4 linked regions of the Sus scrofa genome follow. The protein of the gene in region 2 interacts with the protein of the main gene of each other region in a pairwise test. Links are inferred from orthologs where the notes say so. Each region holds a gene or a part of one and is shown on either strand. Other genes may lie near its edges.

What was found.
Region 1: the proteins of RAD23A (region 2) and USP25 interact in binary tests that used the Homo sapiens proteins (3 or more experiments, as listed by UniProt). The link is inferred for Sus scrofa from reciprocal best matches to the Homo sapiens genes RAD23A and USP25.
Region 3: the proteins of RAD23A (region 2) and MINDY3 interact in binary tests that used the Homo sapiens proteins (3 or more experiments, as listed by UniProt). The two-hybrid records come from large-scale screens. The link is inferred for Sus scrofa from reciprocal best matches to the Homo sapiens genes RAD23A and MINDY3.
Region 4: the proteins of RAD23A (region 2) and TRIP6 interact in binary tests that used the Homo sapiens proteins (3 or more experiments, as listed by UniProt). The two-hybrid records come from large-scale screens. The link is inferred for Sus scrofa from reciprocal best matches to the Homo sapiens genes RAD23A and TRIP6.

Annotation. Positions count from the first base shown.
Region 1 is NC_010455.5:180,569,272-180,574,403, reverse strand, and holds the start of USP25 (ubiquitin carboxyl-terminal hydrolase 25), read right to left. Parts: upstream 3,285-5,132; 5' UTR 2,942-3,284; coding exon 2,897-2,941; intron 1-2,896. UniProt on the Homo sapiens protein: Deubiquitinating enzyme that hydrolyzes ubiquitin moieties conjugated to substrates and thus, functions in various biological processes including inflammation and immune response.
Region 2 is NC_010444.4:66,092,933-66,097,965, forward strand, and holds the start of RAD23A (UV excision repair protein RAD23 homolog A), read right to left. Parts: upstream 3,546-5,033; 5' UTR 3,311-3,545; coding exon 3,239-3,310; intron 1,950-3,238; coding exon 1,788-1,949; intron 1,623-1,787; coding exon 1,441-1,622; intron 1,302-1,440; coding exon 1,246-1,301; intron 1,113-1,245; coding exon 985-1,112; intron 723-984; coding exon 644-722; intron 529-643; coding exon 395-528; intron 1-394. UniProt on the Homo sapiens protein: Multiubiquitin chain receptor involved in modulation of proteasomal degradation. Binds to 'Lys-48'-linked polyubiquitin chains in a length-dependent manner and with a lower affinity to 'Lys-63'-linked polyubiquitin chains.
Region 3 is NC_010452.4:46,052,483-46,056,949, forward strand, and holds part of MINDY3 (ubiquitin carboxyl-terminal hydrolase MINDY-3), read left to right. Parts: intron 1-1,268; coding exon 1,269-1,341; intron 1,342-3,919; coding exon 3,920-4,007; intron 4,008-4,467. UniProt on the Homo sapiens protein: Hydrolase that can remove 'Lys-48'-linked conjugated ubiquitin from proteins.
Region 4 is NC_010445.4:8,711,065-8,716,276, reverse strand, and holds the start of TRIP6 (thyroid receptor-interacting protein 6), read right to left. Parts: upstream 3,057-5,212; 5' UTR 2,898-3,056; coding exon 2,789-2,897; intron 2,497-2,788; coding exon 2,369-2,496; intron 2,277-2,368; coding exon 2,151-2,276; intron 1,864-2,150; coding exon 1,477-1,863; intron 1,181-1,476; coding exon 1,087-1,180; intron 979-1,086; coding exon 809-978; intron 323-808; coding exon 144-322; intron 1-143. Other genes in the region: SLC12A9 (solute carrier family 12 member 9), read right to left, coding at 3,746-4,635. UniProt on the Homo sapiens protein: Relays signals from the cell surface to the nucleus to weaken adherens junction and promote actin cytoskeleton reorganization and cell invasiveness. Involved in lysophosphatidic acid-induced cell adhesion and migration.

The sequences.
Region 1 (5,132 bases), on a different chromosome or scaffold from region 2:
TATTTCATTCATCAAATATTTACTGAAACCCACTCTGTGCAAAGAGCTGCTCTAAGCCTTAGGGTGAAACAAAATAAGCACAACACTGGCCTTTATGAAACTTCTATTTCATTCAACTCCGAAGGATATAGTTAATGTAAATAGTATCCAATTCACTTCACTCTACAAATTAATTTGGTCCCTGGGAGGAAGCCTTCAATATTGCTGCCCTAAATAATCCTTATTTGGAAGCTGAATCTATGAATCAAATTTCTGACCTGTAAGGCTCCTACTCTTAAGTAAATATCAAGCACAAAGGCTGAAGAGACATGTTCAAGACCAAAATAATGACAAGATTTAACTATAGCCAATCTGCCACCAACTCCACCTCACCTCTATTAGCTTAAACCTCAGAAAAGCAGCTCTCTGCAGTTTCACTACATCTCAACTCTCTGCTATGGCCAAACTTGAGCAATCAAGCAAAGAACACATTAGAGGAAAAGATAGTCACTGCTTTAAGTTACACTGTGACAAGTTACTGTGTAGGTGAACAAAAGACCTAAGAGTGCTGTGCTTTTTTTTTTTTTTTTTTTTTTTAGATTATTACTAATCATACATCCTTCAGAAACAGAATAAAAAGAATCTTGAAAAATAGGAAACTGTTCCAACTACCGGAATATAGTTCTTCATATAAAGCTAATATTACACATGAGCACACAACACTCAAATTTTTTTTTAAGGAGAGCATAAAATAGGCTAAAATTTTATGCAATATGCACCAGACACGTCTGGTTTTAATGATCATTCATAAAGTTTCTAATTTAAAAACAAGGAGTTTCACTTTTGTTTCTTCTAAAGTTCGCTTCCTAGTTACCAGCTTGAAGTCCACCTCCTAGTCACTAGCTTGGTGGATTCAAAACTATCAATTTATTTGAAGTAGATGGTTTAAAGTATTTGGACCTATATAAGTATTTTTAATTATTTCTAATATAAGTAGCAAAATAATAGTATATTAATATGGAAAGCAAACACACTAAATGTTGCTTTAAAAAAAATACCATATGCAAGTATAAAAACGAATGCAATTATACTGCTCTTAAAAAATGTGCACAATATCAATGAGATGATCTGACAGACACACACTAAAAACAGCATCATAATGGTAATATTTTGGACTAACAACCACTCCTTTTGTGTAAGGAAAGGACTCATTAAACTAGGAAACTGGACTTGATGGCCAAGATCACTTTCAGTAATTTGACTCTATTCACAACTTTATGCATACAGCGCTCAAGCAGACAGATCTGCTTATCTAATTCTATGCTAAAGAAGTATTTTAGTCCAAAATCAATGTAATAAATTCACAAACTTCTTGCTATTGTTCAAATTTAAGATACAAAAAATATGAGCTATATTTTCCACTATGAAACAAAAAGGCCTGAATATTCAACACCGAAGAGAACCATAAACAGAAACAACACCAAACCTCTTAAATATTGCTTAGTATATATATGACCAATAAGATCCTCCATTAAGTATTAACACTTTGTCATATTCTCAACATCGGGAAAACTAAAATTTAAGGCATTCAAAACAGAATAGAGGGGATTCGGAGACACTGTTCACGAAATTCACAGTAAATAAACTGCAGTCTGTAATAATCTGCTAAATTTACCAGTAACAGTTAACTAACACACAAGAGTTCCAAAGACAACTTTCCCAAAGTGCCTAAAATAACAATGCACTATCCTTGCTTTCCAAAATTCTTAAGCATCTTCAATTACCTCAAGTACTATCATGAAATTCTAAAAATAATCTCAAAGCAAAAATTCAGCAAGCTGTGAGTACACACAGTGTTCATTTTAGGACAGCAGGCTTTATTCTAAAATCAAGCACAGATAGGATATAGCTATGCCCCAACTACAACAGGGTGGGGCATCCACTCCTCTTCCAGAAAAACCAGATACAGGTTTTAGTAGCTACTCCCAGTAAACCCGGGTTACCCCCATAATTTCAAGTCGAGTAAAGCAATGTTTTCCTTTTGCCCAAAACGCTTTTCACACAAATGATCAAAAAAAAAAAAAATTAAGTCATAGCCAACTACTCTTCTGGATATGGTGCAAGCCATGATAGTGCATTTGAGATTCGGAAAGCAAAATCTGGGGGGGGGAAGCATCTCTCACTGCTTACTGTAGAAGATCTGAAGCTTCACAAACCCACATTTTTTTTTAACTTAAGTGAGTGACCATTTGAATGTGTTACAAGGTCAAACTTAGGGGACAAACGATTCCTGGACTAAACATGGCCAGTTTCTATATTCAGGGAGAAAAAAAGAAAAAAAGAAACATAACAAAACAAAGAAAAAGAAAAAGAAAAAAAGAAAAAAGGGAACGAACCAAACCCTCTACTTTTACATTGAATCCACCTGGTTAACGTACCTGCCCCGCCAGGCAGGCAATTCAATTCTGGTGGAGACCTTTTTGCAAAATAGCAGGCCTGGAATGCTCCTCCCTTGAAAATAAAAACTGTGTTCGGAAAGGGTGACAACCTGGCTATTTCTTCTTTTTTAAAGAGGAGGAAGATAAAGTTTAATTAAGAAGTCAGAGAGAGGAGTGTAGGAATGCGAGGTCGCTCTCAATAAACACCCGGCACCGTCTGTTACAGGAAAACAATCGGCGAGAAGGAACTGGAGTGAAACCCGCTAACTACACCTCGCTTTCCACACACAGCCCGGAACTGGGCGCTTCGCCCCCAAGAAGGGTAGGGCGGCGGGGAGCGGGGAGCGGGGGGGACGCCGGGGCAGCCGAGGCCGGGGCGGCGGCGAGGGAGACCGGGGAGCTCCCAGCCGAGGCGGGCCAGGCGGCACGTCGGAAGGAGGAGCCGGGCTGGGCCGCGCCGGCTCGCGGGCTCGCCTCACCTTCTGCGCCGCGCTCTGCTGCAGCACGTTCTGCTCCACGGTCATGGCCCCCGCGGCGCCGGCGGCGACACAGGCAACGGGGTCCGGCTCCTCGTGCCTCCGCCGGCCCTGGCAGCCGCGCTCCGCCGAGCTCCAGGGAGCGGCGCGGACGGCGGGGGAAAACAGCGCCCCCGCCAGCCAGGCGCGAAGGCGATGGCGGCCGGCGTGCGCGGGCACCGGGGGTGGCGGCGAGGTGCGGACAGGGAGGGCCACGGCGGCGGCCCCACGACTCCGCGCGGCCCGCCTTAGCGCGGCTCGTCGGCCCCGGCCCGGGCCATGAGCTGGCGGCCGACGCTGGGGCGCGGGAGGGCGCAAGCAAGCCCGGACGCGTCACGGGCGCGCGCGCGCGCGCTCCTTCACTGGCGGCTCGCGGGCCACTGCGGGGAAGGGAGAGGGGACAGAGGGAGCGGCCGGCCGGAATGGCGCTGTCCTCCTCCCTCCGCGACTCCTCCTCCCTTCCCCTCCCCCAGCCGCCGTCACCGCCCCCGCCCGGCAGCTCCTCCCCCGCCGAGCCCCGCCCGCCGGCCGCCCTAACCCTACATTGTGACCCACAGGGCGGCGGGCGGGGGCGGGGCCGCCCGGGAGCACGCCCCCATCACGCCGCTCCCGGGGCGGGGCGGGGAAACGCCACGCGGGCCGGGCCTCGGAGCTGCCCCTGCGGCAGGTTGCGCGACGCCTTCCCTTGACTCTGCAAAGCTTCCAGCCGAGGCCCGAGGGCAGCGTTCGTCTCTGTGCCCTGGGTTTGTCGGACTGCTGGGTTTCTGAACTCCTCCAGGACCAAACGTTTTCCTGCTAGCCCCGTAACGTCCCCCAAACGCCTTCTGTCCGGAATCCTGGCTCCTTTCTGTATCTCCAGTCTTCTCCCCAGGCCTTTCTAGGAATTTCACTAGCAGTAAACTTGCCCGTAGGGAAAAGTCAAGTGTAATTTAAGCAAAAGGCTGTCAGAAGTCTTTATGCTAGAATGTACATTTCTCCTTAAGTAATCATTATATAAATGAATATTGATATTCTTTGTCTACTTCTTTCATTCAATTATGTGCCAGTCACTGCTAGGCTCTGAGAAATAAGGTTCATTTTCCGATAATTTGATGTAAATGAAATATAGTCACTGTCTAGATGGTACATCATCTAATGTCCCAGTTGCCAAGCAAATTATCAATTAAACACCCTGCTTGGAATACCTGACTATATATGGAATTGTATGGAAAACCTACTGTTAAGAAAGCAATTTCTAGTCTCAAAAATATCTTGTTTCACTAGCTAATGTGGGGATAGGATATGAGGGTGCAGCAGTGGAAGGGAAAGAATAATCAGTGCATATTGTCACAAATATAATACACAAATATGCAAATGTAGGTATAATTTTTAATTTGAAAGAAAAGCAAGTTTGGCACATGATCACTGAAATATTATCTGGTTATATTTAATAATCATGGATCACAGTAACTCCTAAGCTTTTGTAATCAATCTCTACACTTTACAAACTGGCTTTACTCTGCACCTTAGATGTTTTCAACCACCTTTTGAGGTCTTTCCCTTGCATCTTCATGTTTATTTGCTCATTTGATCTTGACAGATTACAAATTTTATTTTATTGCTGTCTTACATTTCTGCCAGAAGAATTTGGAAAGTTGTGAAATGGCTGGAAACCCAGAATTTTAGGAATAATGTAACAGTTCTGACAGAATGAACAAAATTTTTATGAGAACACTGAGACCCAAAGAGGGTGACTTGTGAATGAATGCATACTAGAGTTCATTTTCTCCTCATTTATTGATGAATATTCTTTCCAACATATCAACTTTGCTTCTTTGTTTTATAGATTTTTAAAAATCTGATTCACAATATTTGAATGTAAGTTAAATTTAACATTAAAAAAAAACTAGTACTGTGGTTTAAAAAAGATATTGCCAGATACAAAAGTTAATTTTCTAAAATTTGGCAATGAATGTTCCTCTGAGTTAGATTTTTTTAGTTCCACACACAAAAAAATTATCTTACCAGTGATTATTGTATAGTTATCAAATAAAGCTCTTTATAGAGTAGTTTGTACTTGCCCACTTTGATCATTCATTCCTAGATTATTTGTGATGGTTTCCCAGTTTCTTTTTTTTAAAATCTTAATTATGGTTTTGTAGAACTTTGAGAAGTAAATTTCAAGTTCCCCTGTAGATTTGTTTGGTTTTGGGTGTTTTTT
Region 2 (5,033 bases):
TTGGGCAGGGTAGTCCTGGGTACTGCCATACAACCCTGTAGACATTTATGAAGCAACAGCTAAATGTGGAGGCGAGCCAGAGCTCAGGACCCAGAGAGGGTGGAGCTGGACACACTCCACCAGTTACCAGGCTGCTCCAAGCCTCTGGCATCTTCCTCTACAGGAAGTGATGATGACAGGACCCACATCTCTCACAGGGTGCCTAGAAGCATTACATGATACCAGGTAGGTCACCAGGTCACAGAGAACAGCAGGAGATTGTCTTAGTCCTACTTTCCAAGCATAGAGACTCCTACGTACCATGCTGGGCCAGGATCACCGCCTGGGGCTGTGGTACCCACAGGGGAAGGGAGACGGTGCCTGCACTGACTCCCTCGGCTACCCAGGGCTGTACCTGTAAAAGCTGGGGGTTCTCCTGGCCCAGCTGCTGGAGCAGGGCGGGCAGCAGTGCCGGGTTCTGCTGAATCACCTGCCGCATGTTCTGGAACTGGGGCTGGTCCCTCAGGAATTCCAGGGGGTTCTCTCCTGCTGACAGAAAAAAGGGGTCTGGTCAGACACCACCCAGGGCTGAAGTCGGGGGGATGGAGTGAGTCAGACGCCTCAAGTGCAGACACTCCACACGCACACTTCACACTCTACTCACCTGCTTCCGTAGGCGGCTGCTCCGATACTTGGCTCTCCTGGACAGAACCATGTTCTGGCTCGGGGCTCCCAGGAATTCCCTGTCAGGGATCCTATTTAGTTCAATGCAGACTGCCCACTGCCTTCCTCTTGCATGCTCAGCCCTGGCAGGAGACACATGAGGCCTCCACTCTGCCCTCTGCAGGCCCACCCCACCACTCCTGTCCAGGTTCCTGGAGGAAACCTTTCCTAGCTGGAACCATAAACCATGGGCTTTGGAGGGCAGGTTTTGATCACCCATCAGGTCACTGACACCCACATGCTCCCTTGAGGACTCCCCAGGAGGCTAGAGCCCCACCTCACCGTGAGCAGATACTCCACGGCTCGGTGGGGGTTGTTGTAGCTGGCTCTCAGGGCAGCCACGACCCGCTCCCGCTCATAGCCCATGGACGTGATCTCTGTCAGCATTGTCTCATACTCAGAGCCAGTCACTGTGGAAGGAGGAGCAAGGGCTGGGTCACCAAGGAGTGGGAAGGGCAGCTCCCGGGCCCTCCCACACCCACACAAGGCCCAGCTGATGGCTGGGGCACCCAGTCATCTCTGCTCTGGGGACCACCCACCCACCTAGCGTGGAGGCCGCGTCTTCCTCTCGCCCGCTGCTACCTGAAGAGGGAACAGAGCTGCAAATTCAAGAGAGAGAAATCGGACCCTGGCTTCTGGCGGCTTGCCCTCCCCGCAGGTGTGTGGAACCACGGACGTAGGCGCTGAAATGTGCTGGGAGGCCAGGGCCCAAGCTGAGGCTGCTGCTCCCTGCCTTACCCTGACACGGACTCCGGAGATGTCGTGGGGACCGATTCCTCCGATGGGCTCTTGTCCTCTCTGGCAGGAGATGGGGGGTGGGACATGCCTGAGGCAGGGGCCAATGGGAAGGATGTGGAAGACTCCGGGGCAGCAGTGGGTGAGGCCTCTGGGGGTACTGAGGTGCCTGGGCTAGTTTTGGCCTGTGAAACCCAGAAAAGGGAGCAGGCATCAGTATCCCTATCTAGCGCCACATCCCACCACAGCTCAGCCCCACCCTGTTCATGGTTAATCTCTCTTAGGCACACAGGCTCTTGGCCAGCTCCCAAGCTAATCCACCCACCCTCCCAACCAGCTACCTCACCTACCTTGGTCACCATGACGACCACAAAGTTCTTCTCATCAATTCGATAGTCCCTGATGGGGACATCGTCACTCAGGATCTTGCCAGCATAGATGAGTTTCTGTCCAGCCACGGGGAAGGCATCACGACCCTTCTCAGCTTCTATCTTCTCTTTTAGCACCTTCACCTGGAGAAAGGGGTACACAGTCATGGCAAACCCCAAGATTCTCTCTTCCCTTATAGTATAGGAGGAGAGGGGAGAAAACAAGCCCTGATGACTGAGAAGCTAAGCTTCATAATCAAGCATTCTAGGCTATCCCATCATTCAATGGAGTATTTACTGCACACTTCTATGTGCCAGGTGCAGTTTTAGGCACTGAGGACACAACAGAGAACAAAACTCAACAAACTCTGTTTTTGTAGAAATGACGCTTATTTGGGAGATGGAAGTCAGAAAATGTAAACACAATGTAATGAAAAACAGAAAAAAGGGGCGATAGGAGGGTTCCTCACTCCATGCTGCTGACAGTGGTTTTCAGTGGTAGAATCCTAAGTTTACAGTACTATTGTAAACATACATGTGTCACAAGTTTAAATCCTCATTGTAACTGGGTAAAAAAATTACCATTAGCCTCATTTTATGTCCAAGAAAAAAAGGCACAGATAGGTTGTTAACTAACTTGCCCAAAGGCAAACAGGCTGATGAGAAAATCTATTTCTCTCTCTATAAAAAGTGAACTTAAACATCTTCTTCATGAGATAAGTTGTGCGAATAATGCCAAATACGCATATTAGATTCGAAGTCTCTTCTCAGCTAAAAAGACAGCATAAGGTTTCGTCCATAGGCTCACTTGAGGCAAACCCCTACTGTTATTTGCTGTATGCGACTATGTCTACGTTCCTTAACTCCTAAATTTCCACATCTGTAAAACAAGAAGACTAAGTCCCCAAATGACAAGCCTACTTTGAAGATTTAGTAAGATAATACGAAAACGCTCAGTGACTGGTGAAGAACAAACACGGACCATTGAAACTCAGACCATTTATTATCTTTATCATCGTCGTTGCTGTCATCACCCGGCATCTCTTGGCCACTATTCGTAGATTCGGCCACCAACGTCCAGAGGAAACGCCTACAAAGCTGGGAACTAGGAGGCCCAGTCCCAGAGACAGCAGCACGACAGAAAATCTGAGCCTGCGGCTCCCGCGCCCCACGAGGGCGCTGACATTGGAGCCGGGGCCTGGCAGGCGCCCCGGGGGTGGGGCTTTGCCTGGAGATCGACACTAGAGCTCCACCCGAGCCACCAGGGCCTGGGTTGGGGACCATCGGGTAATCTGGAAAAGTAGGGCAGTTTGGGAGAATGGGCAGGGCCCGGCCCCGCGTCGTCTTCCCCGCGTCTCTCGTCGGGATCCCAGCCTCCCCCCGAACCCCTGGCACCCGTCGCTCCCGTTCCCAGGCTCAGGCTTGGTTCGCACCGTCTCATCAGGCTCCATGCGGATCTTGAAGGTCTGCTGTTGCAGCGTTTTGAGCGTGATGGTGACGGCCATGGTAGGACCCGAGCGACGCGGCGGCCCCGGGATCCTCACACAACATGCAACTCACGCCGCCGCCATCTTAGCGCCTAGCCGCGCCGCGCGCCGACCGCTTCCGGGGCAAACGGTGCGCGCGCCGACGACCAGGACACGTGACCTGCGCGCTGTGGGCCCCCCCCCCCCGCCGCCGCCATGGGCCTTCGTGAGCATGCGCACGAGAGCGGCCCTGAGTCAGGCGTACGCAGACCAACTTCTACTCAGTCGGCGTAGAGGGAGGTTTTCTCGCTTAACCATCACGTGGCTTCATGGGAGTGACGCCATCCCCGTTAGCGGTGACGTCATGAGGCCACAAAATGGCGCCGACGTCCAATTATCACGCCCATCAGTTTCCTTTTTTGTTGACGTTGAACAAAAATCTGCTTTGATACTTGTATCTCTACCGTAAAATCTTAGTTCATATTTTTTGCTCTTTCCAAATTAGTTTCATTCTAGTCTGGCCACCCTGACAGTACTCCTGTCTAACCCTGAAGGGACCTAGAAAGGATACTGAAAAGGTCACCAACAATTAAATGAAAATGCCAAACACGTTTGGCTGTGTAAACAGGCACACAGAGCCATTTTATGCCCTCATTTATTCTTTAGGAAGAGCCGGATTTTTGGAATTAATTTATACAGTTCTAGTTCCTGGGTCTCCCCCCTCTCTGCTGCTCCTTCCCTAACCACTATCTCCAACATGATCCGCAGTATGTAGAGTATGTAACTTCCAAGGCTTTCCTACACTGAATACAAAATTCTCTCCTTTCCCTGGATATGCTAATTGGGATGTTTCCCAGAAGGGTGGGGCTGGGCTGCAGGACACAGGAATGAAGCACAAAAGAGGCCTGTCCAAGTAACAAGGAAATGAAGCGCTGGTTGGCCAAAGGTGAAAAACGTGCTATGGCAGACTGGTTGGAGGTGATGGACTCCCCACCTCCTTCATATCCTGCTTCAGAACCTGATCTTTTCACCATTCCCATCCCAGTAGGACACAGTGCAGTCCCCTGCCACCTCACTCATTTCCCCAAATCTAACCAGGTCCTGCTGCTTGTCCCTTTACCACACACCCTGAACTAAGAAGCTTCCACACAAGAATAGGCCACCTCTTCCCTTCAAGAAGTTCAGATCCCAACTTGGCTACTGAACATCATGGGTAAGCTAGATACCACCTTCTGAAGATATTTTGACTAATGAAAGGTATTTATAGCTTTTAACACGGGCTGGTATTAAGAACAACGTGTTGAGGAGTGCCCTGGCAGCAAATTGAGCTAAGGATCCGGCACTGTCACTGCAGTGGCTTGGGTCACTGTTGTAGCACGGATTCGATCCCTGTCCCGGTGGAATCAGCATTAAAAAAAAAAAAAAAAAAGTGTTTATAAGAATTCCCGTTGTGGCTTAGGGGGTTAAAGACCCAACTGGTAACCATGAGGATGCAGGTTCAAAACCTGGCTTCACTCAGTGTGCTAAGGATCAGCGTTGCTGTGAGCCGCAGCATAGGTCAGATAGAGCTTGGATCTGGCATTGCTGTGGCTGTGATGTAGGCCCACAGCTGTAGCTCCAATTAGACCCCTAACCTGAGAACTTTCACATGCTGCACGTGCAGCCCTTAAAAAGTTAAAAAAAAAAAAAGGCAAATGTTTAAAACTTTTGCTTGAGAAGATGGACACATATGGACCAATATAAAACAGTTTGTATGAGATAG
Region 3 (4,467 bases), on a different chromosome or scaffold from region 2:
GTCTTAAATTATTGATAACCTGACAAAGTAGAATTAGTCCAAACTTTCACTTTTTTAAAAATTATCCCAAATGATTCTTAGCCTTTTAGCCAAGGCCAATTGTCTTCGCATGAGTTAAGCATGTGCTGGTGAGGTTTAAGAAGACTTTTTAAAAATTATAACTTCTTTATTTCCTTTGTGATAGAGACAGGGCACCCCCTACGTCCAGAAAGAGCAACCACTCTTTATTCTGTAGTTCAGTGATAGAAGCAGGACTTTTGGACATCTTGTTCTCTGGGACAGGATTTTTTTTTTTTTTTTAATTATCCTAATCTCTGAAAAGGATGTCGTGTTGGACATTGACTTCAAGCTGAGACAGTCTTCAAGAATGAGTGGATGAGTAGAGGAACTCGGGCATTGTACATTTAAGGGAATCAGCAGCCAGCCTGTTTAAAAGTACTGTGATTTCAAACAGTCCTACAAGCTTTGTGTGTGTGTCATGTTCTGTTGCATCATCTTAGTTTGGGCCATCTACTAATGCTATTTCCATATCGGAGCCCACGGAAAGGAATATTTTCCATTAACTAATCTTCATCAACATTTGATTCTACTCTGCATTCCAACTCTGATTTTTTTCCCCTATTAAATCTGTGGCTTTTATTTAAATCAAGTCTGTTGCGTCACCATGTTGTACAGTAGAAAAAAAAATAATGTATTGGGGAAATAAAAAAAAAATCAAGTCTGTTGATTTACATAAGGACTATCTTTTCTTATATTGTCAAGAGATCTATAATTAACAGTGGATCCTAAATAGTCTTGCAAAAAAATTAAATAACATTCAGTGGATGCTGAATAGTCTTGCAAAAAAATTAAATTGTGACAAAAGGAATTTGTTGGTAAAGGATTATTTTAAAGGGAATTTAAAGGTTTACATTGCTAATTGAAAGATACGCTTAGTAATTGTAAATTTAAGTAGAAAAACAGCTTGGTTAAATTTGTGAGCCTTTTGAAGAAGTAATTTGGCTTCAAGGTTTCCTTGAAATTCTCAGGTATAAGTCATGTGGTTAATTTTTGTATTAGAAACTAACCTTGAAAACAAATCTTTTCCTATGTGCCCAAGAAAACTAATAGATGAGCACCTAATAATAATAGACATTGTGCTCAAAAGAAACTTAATATGCTGCTCCCTAATTCTTTGTACTCCTCTTATGTGATTTTTAGCTAGAGTCTGATCAGCAGTAATAGTATTTCTTGACATAAACGTAATCCAAATTTTTTTTTTTTTTCAGATAATGGATTCATACCTGATTCACTTCTAGAAGATGTGATGAAAGCATTGGACCTGGTTTCAGATCCTGAATAGTAAGCTCACAGGAAGTGTTATGTAACCAATTGATTTTTTTTTTAATGTAAAACATTATACACACATTATTGCCTTTTTTCAAAATCTAAATTGCATATATGAAGCCTAACACTTTATAAGAAGTGAAGATTTAGGAGGCAATCAGACCAATCAGTATTACAGCAGACTTGACATAGTTAAAATGAGCTTCCTTTTCCACTCTGTGCTTATGGTCTCGCTTTAAAAAATGATGCTAAAAATATAAATACCTTTTTCTATGTTAAATATATTTTTTCTCACTGCAAAACTTTTTCCATATTTTGAAATTTTGTGCATGCCTTCAGTACCTTCAGTTCGAGTAGTGAGAGTTTTGTAGACTGTTTATATCACTAGTCATCCTGCTTAAATAACCAGCAGGCCTCTGCTTTCAGTCTTAAAGACAATGAACATTCTGAACCTTTATAAGTGGCCGCAGTATATTACAGAATATAGTTTTCAGTATTGCCTATCATGAGTATCTGTCATTGTCTTCATTCTGTTCCATTTTTTACATTATACCTTTAACTTTTTCCATAAATTTAGGGTCTTTATTGTCCATGGGAAAATAGCCCTCTGGTTAAGTGGATACACCTGTTGATCAAACAGAAAAGTTAGAAATCAGCTATGAACTATATTAGCTTTTCCTTTTTCTGCATAGTTTATTTTTCCTCCTGAAAGTGTATCTGACAATGAACAAACTTTAGCTTATAAACATTTCAGGAAAGGATACAGCAAAAAGCAACATAAGACATAGTCGTATACATAGTTTTTAGAACTTGATCCTATTGTGTTTTTAAATAGCCGGGGTGTATTTTCTTTTCTTTTCTTTTTTTTTTTTTTAAAGTCTGATATACATATAAACATTTACAAACTAATCACATCTGAATTAATATGTCTCCGTCTCTACTTACCGCTATGATGTTATCCTTTCTTAGTAAGCATAATTGCTGATTCCAACTCACAGAGGAGAAATTTGGGAGAGACAGGTGACCTAGTTAATAAATGGTATAATAGTAACTACCATATTTCTTCTCACCTCATCTCCAAGTGGAGACCTTCTTGTTTACATTGCTCTAATATGCAAAAAGGACTGAACTCGGGTAATTTTGGTTACTAACAGTTCTTAAGATGGGAAGGAGGAAGAAGGAAAAGTTAGGTTTTCTTTCAAAACTCTTACATAGATGGCCATACATCATCTACTTAATTTTCCCATTTCATTAGACTACATGAATGATAAGCTTGGCGCAGCTGAGTTAGTGAAATTGTTTCTCTAGAAGTAGCTGAAAGGTTGGAACAAGTTACTCACTCCATCCTTTGGTCTCGTCGAGTGTATAATATGTGATGGCCCATAAACCAACAGGGTCATATCAACGATTGATAAATTTAATTAAATATAATATGACCTTGCCTTCATTTGTTTCATGTCATAACCTTCTGGCATTACTCAGACCCACTGCAGTGTCACATCTTTGGTATATTGCACAGATGACTTGAACAATGCAGGGGTTGAGGTCACCAACCCTTGGGCAGACAAAAATCCATGTGTAACTTTTGACTCCCCCAAAACTTAAGTACTAATAGCCTACTGTTGACCGGAGACCTTACTGATAACACACATTTTGTATGTTATATGTATTATATAGTGTTTTCTTAAAGTAACTTAAATGTTTATAGGAAAATCATGAGGAAGCAAAAATATATTTATGGTACCTATATGTATTTACTGGGGAAAAAATCCACATATAAATAGACCCAGGAGGTTCAAATCCATGTTATTCAAGAGTCAACTGCATAATAAGGTATATTTAACCTGACAGTTAATAACAGGGAGAATGAACATTTTCTGAAAAGATCATTTCCATTTTTGAAGCTCTTTGATTCAGTCCACTTTTCTCTGCCTTCTTTCTAGTCACACATAGCACTTTTCAGTAACCTTGTCCACACCTAATACCGAAGCTATACAGAGCACTGTTCACTTCAGGCTCCTCCTGGAATAATACAGTACATTTCCACTTATTGAAATTCATATACCTTAGCCCTTGAGGATTATCTTACTTTTTAACTATCAATTTACACTGTAAGCATTTTAAGCCTCCATCTCATTTGGTTCTTGAAAGTAAGCTCTTTAGGAGATGTTTTTAATTACCTAATGTACCCACTGCCTTTAACACTGTTTCTTTTTCTTCTTAAACATTTTGTTTAAGTTAAATGCCTCATTTGATAGTTAAATTCAAGCGTACCTACGAAGCAAAGAGAATGTTCCTTTGGGAAGTTATAAGCCTGAGTTTTTAAGTTATTTTACCTAATAAGGAACAATATTCCAAAGTCATCATTGTAATTTAAATTTTAAATAGTAACAGATTAGTCTAGTTTAAAAATAACCAAGTTTTGGCAAATTAGATGTCATTCCTATGTATTTGTCATTAAGGATCTAAAAAGAACAGCTCTTAGGACTTTTGGCAGTCAAATGTGTTAGAGTACTAGTAATTTAATCATGAAAGAAGAAAAATAAGCTTTTTTTTCTTTGGTATCCACTGTTTCTTTTTTCTCTCCCCACAGTATAAATCTCATGAAGAATAAATTAGATCCAGAAGGGTTAGGAATCATACTATTGGGTCCTTTTCTTCAAGAATTTTTTCCTGATCAGGTAACATAGATGAAGAAATATCTTTATTGTTTTGTGCTGTTGAGATGATCATATTACGATTGTTTCAGCATTTTTTTCTACTAATTTAAAATGTTCCTACATCCAGATACAAAACTAAGAAAGTGAAATTATCATGTGAATACTTTCCCCTGACAGAGAGGCTGGGGGGGGAGGGTACCTGTGTTCCAAAATTCAGTAAGTCACAACTTTGATTGGGGCACGGGGGCGGTGGAAGAGAGTATATAAACCAGTGTAGACACACTGATACGGTTCTTCTAAAGGAAGATTCAAATCCATAGGTACATGGAGTGAAAAAAGACAAGTGTCGCTTAGTCCACTCCCACCCCTCTTTTCCTCCTCTCCAGTAACTGTTGTTAATAGATAGGAAGTTCTAGGAGGATACGTTCCAAAGTACTAGGAGAGGAGGCAGAGGAGCCTGTTGTATGAGTATGAACTCGTG
Region 4 (5,212 bases), on a different chromosome or scaffold from region 2:
GGAAGAGAGTTGTGTTACCAAGAATGAGGCATGGCCAGGGGCGCAAAACATGAGAGGTTGGTACTGGGATATGAAGGAGAGATAAGGAAGATGGGAAAGGCCAGGCCAGACATCCTGAGACAAAGGTTGATGACCTAGCTGACCTGTGGAAGTCCTCAATGCAGTGGATCTGGCTGGTGGCATCCACAGTGAAGGGGATGCCATCGAGGCCGCGGTGGCACACCACACAAGTGAAGCAGCCAGGGTGATAGGCCTTCCCCATGGCCCGCAGAATCCGGTCCAGGATGGGCTGGGAACAGGTGGAGCACTTCTCCAGGGTGGCCTGTCAGGAAGGAGAGCAGGAAGGTCAGGGCTGGGGTGACCCATGGCAGCCCTTACAGGCATCCTGCCAGCTCCCCCACCTATTTATGTAGCCCCCTGCATGTGATTCAGTTAAAGGTGGCCTTGAACAGGTATGCGTGCAAATCCTAGCACTGCAGCTTCCCCAGACAAGATATTTAAGCTCTCAGACCTTCAGTTTCCTTCAGGAGTAACAGCTGCCTCACCAGGGCATTGTGGGGATTCAGCACATTCCCCTAAACCGAAAATAAATGCCTCACTCTTACAGGGGAATGTTGTCCTTTCTCTCCAGCAACCAGTATACAGCTACTTATTTCATCCATGCCTTTTTCTTTATTAGTTTTAGTTCTCCTGCTTCGAGCCTTATTCTTTGGGGCTTGGACACCTAGTTCCCACTCTGGATGGAAGCCCCCTGCTTCCTGCTGCTGACTCCATCTGCCACCACCCCCCGCCAGCCCCCACCACTCACCACATAGCAGCTCTCACAATACGCTCTCCTCTCCACGGCATAGAAATGCTGGCCCCGGAGATGGGCCCGGCACGTAGAACAGACAAAGCAGCCAACGTGAAAGACACGGTCCAGGGCCACAACCCCGGCCCCATCCCCAACCACATCTTCTCCGCAGCCACCACACCGGCCTGGGGACGGGATGGGTCAGGGTCAACCATAGACTGGGAAGCCAGACCCACTGTCTACCTGACCTCCCCCCACCCCCTGCCCGGGGTGTGTGGCGGGGGGCAGCTCACCGAAGTACTCCCCACTGGGCGGGTGGTTCATGTCCTGCACCAGCTTCTTGGTCAGCCTCTCAAGTTCCTCCTCGGGAGGCTGGCTCAGGGGGACCTGGGAGGTGAGAATCAGGGGTTCAATCCTACCTCTCCCTCCCAATACTGTCACCGAGAGTGATCAGGCAATTCCACCCAAAAGCTCACAGGAGAACACCCCAGCCCAGGGGCCAGGGGTGTGCCTCTGGGAGCCAGTGTGCAGATCTAGTCCCCTCCCTCCTTTATTTCCTGACCTGCCCCCCGCCCCCAGGGAATCCAGAGCTTGAAAACTGGAACATCAACCCCCACCCCCACCCCACCCAGTCAGCATCCAACTGTCTTTGAGGACCCCAAATCCCAGGGCCCAGGGCTTACCTGGGGCCCGTACCCGCCTCCTCTTCCTCCCGGAGGGCCGGAGACTCCGGCAGCCTCCTCTTTACCCCCTGGCCCTGGCTCACGGTGGCTCCTGTAGCCAGCCCCCCAGACTTCACCTCGGCCTGGGAGAGGAAAGTGGGGGCCGGGGAGGGGCCCCGAGGCCTGAGGGGCCCCCCGCCTGGGGGGGCCACAGCCTCTCACTGGTTGTGCCACCTTCACTTGCACAGGGAAGGCAGGGCCGGCGGGGGTGCTGGCCGTAGCATAGGAGGCCGGCGTGGGGCCGCCATAGGAGGCCGCTGGGAGTGGTGTGGGAGGAACACTCCCTCCATTCGGCTTCAGGGAGCCAGGGCCTGAGCGGTAGGCAGGGAGCTGATGGGGCTCATAAGCCTGGAGAGAAGCACAGACCAGAAGGCATGAGCTGGGCCCAATCCAGAACACACATCTGTGGAACCCCTGAACCCTGTGTCTGTGGCACCCAGGTAAGCACTGGTTTTGACAAGGGCCCGTCCTTGAGTGGCTGGCAACCTAGTACGTTTTGGTGGCCCAGCTTCCTCCTCGCTGGTGGGTGCATCCCCCATGTGGAGGGAGAAGAGGAGTGAGAATACAGAGCAGGAACCAGGTTGCGGGGGAGGGGTGGGGGACAAGGACAGGGAGGGACAGGAGCGGGGAGTCACCTGCCGGTCAGGCCGCCGTGGGGCGTGACCCCGACCCCCGTCCAACTCAGCCAACATGCTGGTCAGGGAATCTATCTCAGCATCCAGACTTCCTGGGCGCAAGGCCCCCCTGTCCGGGGGGAGCCCCTGGAGATAGAGCAAAAGCAGGGAGAATGCAACTCATATGGCCTCTTCTCCTGCCCTAAGTCCCCCCCACACCCCCTAATCGCGGTGCTCACCTGTGAGCGTTGGGGTGCTCCATGGCACCCCACCCAGGCCAGGCCCGGATCCTCCGGTCCCCCAGGGGCCTGGTAACACTGCTCAGATGGGAGGGGGCAAAAATTGACCCTGGGGTGGGACTGGAGTGCTGGGGTGAGGGAAGAGAGAGCCAAGGTGGGGATGGGGAAGGAGAGGAGGGTGACACTTGTGGAGGCCACCGGTCTTGGGTCCCTCTTCACCCCTCTCCCCCCGCATCTGGGGTCCGAGAATGGGGCAGGAGGCAGTGAGGGCTGGGAGAGGGCGAGGGCGGGGGCGCGGCGGGTTCCAGCCGGGCTTGGGGAAGGGGCGACAGGGGCAGGCTCAGCGGGAGGCAAGAGCAGCAGGGCAGAGTTGAGTGTTGGTGGCCCGGTGGCCTCCGCACCGCACTGGGGCTGCCTTACCTGCTCCGTGGGCTGGCGGCGGCCCGGAGGCGCCTCGGGGGAGCGCTCTCCCCTGAGGGGCTCTGGCGGGCTCCGGCTGCTTCGGGGGGAGCCAGGTGGGCCCGGACATGGTCTGGAATGGGGGACTCCAGACAGCGGTCAGGGCCCCACGGAGCCCAGGGCTCTGACTTTGACCCCTTCTTCCCCCCGACACCTCGCTTGGGACTCCAGGACAGAAACTTTTTCTGGCTTTTTTTTTTCCCCTTCCTCCCCAATTTTGGGGACGGCCACGCCCCCGATGACGTCATCGCATTCCTGGGGGAGGGTCACGTGGCCCCCTAGGCCCTAAACTGCCGTCCCTCCCCTAGTCGGCCCCCTCCTGCGAGCCGGGGCGGCTTTCCTCCAGAGCGTGGGCCCGGGGGGTGGGGGTGGGAGGCTCAGGCAGCCTCCTTTAACACGGGGCTCTTGTGCCCCAAGTCCGCACGTGGCCCCCTTGCGCTGGGATGCTCCAGTGCCCCTCCCCGCATACAGATTCGTCCCGCATTCTGTCCCCCCTACCGGCTCCCTCCAGAAACGCTCGGCCAGCACCTAGTGTTTTGGTCTTTTATTCACATTCAGCAGTTAGAAAAATAAAACGGAACAAAAACATCACAACCTCAAGGGTGAGGAGTCTACTGGGCAAGGGGCGGGGAGACTGAGGTAGCCTAGAGTCACAAGCGGAGACCCAGCCCCGTCAAGGCACCAGTGAAGGGAGGGAGGCCAGCGTGGGGGAGGGCTGCTGACTTCTCGCCAGTGGTGGCCGCCGGCTCAGCTGCCCTGGGCACAGCGAGGACCCTCTCCCAAAGACCAGGTTCCCCTAATACCTCCACCAGGGTCCGAGTCCCAAGTACAAGGAGGGCAAGAGGCAGCACCTCCCCTCCTCAACCCGCCAAGCAAAGTGGGCCACTCGACCTGGACACTCTCTACTAGGAACCGGCATCAGAGATCAGTGCAAGTGACAGGGGTGATGCCATGAATGAGCAGCGTGGGGCCCAGGTCATGGCTCAGAATTTCCAGCAGCGCCAGGTAGCGAGGGTAGCGAGAGGGATCAGCAGGCGGCCGAGGCAGGTACAAGAACGTGAGGGCGGTGGTGGGCCCTTCCTCGCCATCCCCACCCTCAGGCCCACCAGGCCCTCCTCCTCTGCCGCGCCCCTGCTGGGCCCGAACCAGGGCGTTGGCGCTGCGTGCCAGGGCCTCTGCCTCTGCGTCTCCGCGCCTGCCATTCACAAAGTCCCCCTCCTCCTCCTCCTCAGGCTCCTCGGACCCAGCCCCCTCACCCCACACAACCTCCTGCACCTCTGCCCGGATCCTCAGCTGGCTCAGCAGTGCCCGGAGCCGCCCCTCGGCTGCCCCTGGGGCCTCCCGAGGCCCCAGGCACAAGAAGATCCGGAGGCGGGCAGTGTGCCAAGCAGGCACCATGCCCAAGATGGTGGCCATCTGCAGCAGGAAGAGGCCGCAGACGTCCACGTAGCCAGGTCCACCCCGGGGCCGCAGCAGGTTGAGGGGCCACACGTCCACATGATGTGGCTGAGAGGTACCCCCGGAACCCCGGCTCAGTCGCTCAGGGGGCAGGGCCCCACAAGCCCGGGCAAGAACCACATTCTTATTCATCTTCAGGGCGTCTGCCACAGTGGCCACATAGTCCTGGGGACTGAGAGCCCGGGGGCTCCCAGGAGCCCGGGGTGGAGGGAACAGGGTGCTCAGGGCTGGGGACCCGCCCTCCTGGGTGGCATCAGCAGGCTCAGAGAAAGCTGGATCTGTCAGGAAGTGGTCCTGGGGCGCAGCATCATCGTAGAAACCCAGGACCAGTGTGTTGGGCTTCATGCCACCTGGGGGCAGAGAGGGATAGGCAGGAAGGAGCCCCAAGGAATCAGTCACAGGCTGAGTTCACACCATACTAACAGGCACCCACTCCCACCCTCTGGCAGCGACGTGTCAGCCAGCAGGTATGACATTTGCACAGTGCTTGGCCTCTTAAGGCAACATTATGCACATTTGCGTAATGACTTTGAGTTTTCCCAAACACTTTCACAGGCATTTATCTTCATGACTAATCTCCCCCACTTAAATTGACAGAGTTCGCCTTAGGATTCTTTTAACTAAGGAGCACTTCCAGGCGTCATGAGGCAGTAGGATGCATTTCACTCCAGGCTTTAAGCTGCACACCTTTTTTGTGATGGGAGATGAGAGTCTGACTCCACCGGACAGAAGGGACCCCCTGATTAGTCAAGCTCATGGCCTAGATCCCCAGGGAGACAGCGCTCAGACCCTGCTAGGGGAGGATGAAGCTCGGCACTGGGGCTGCACGATCTGTTTCTATGATAGAAAAGCCCTAATGATGACGTGTCCAAAGCACGGTCCCCTGAGAGCAAACCTCTGCATGCTAATCGGGGGCCCCATCCTGTA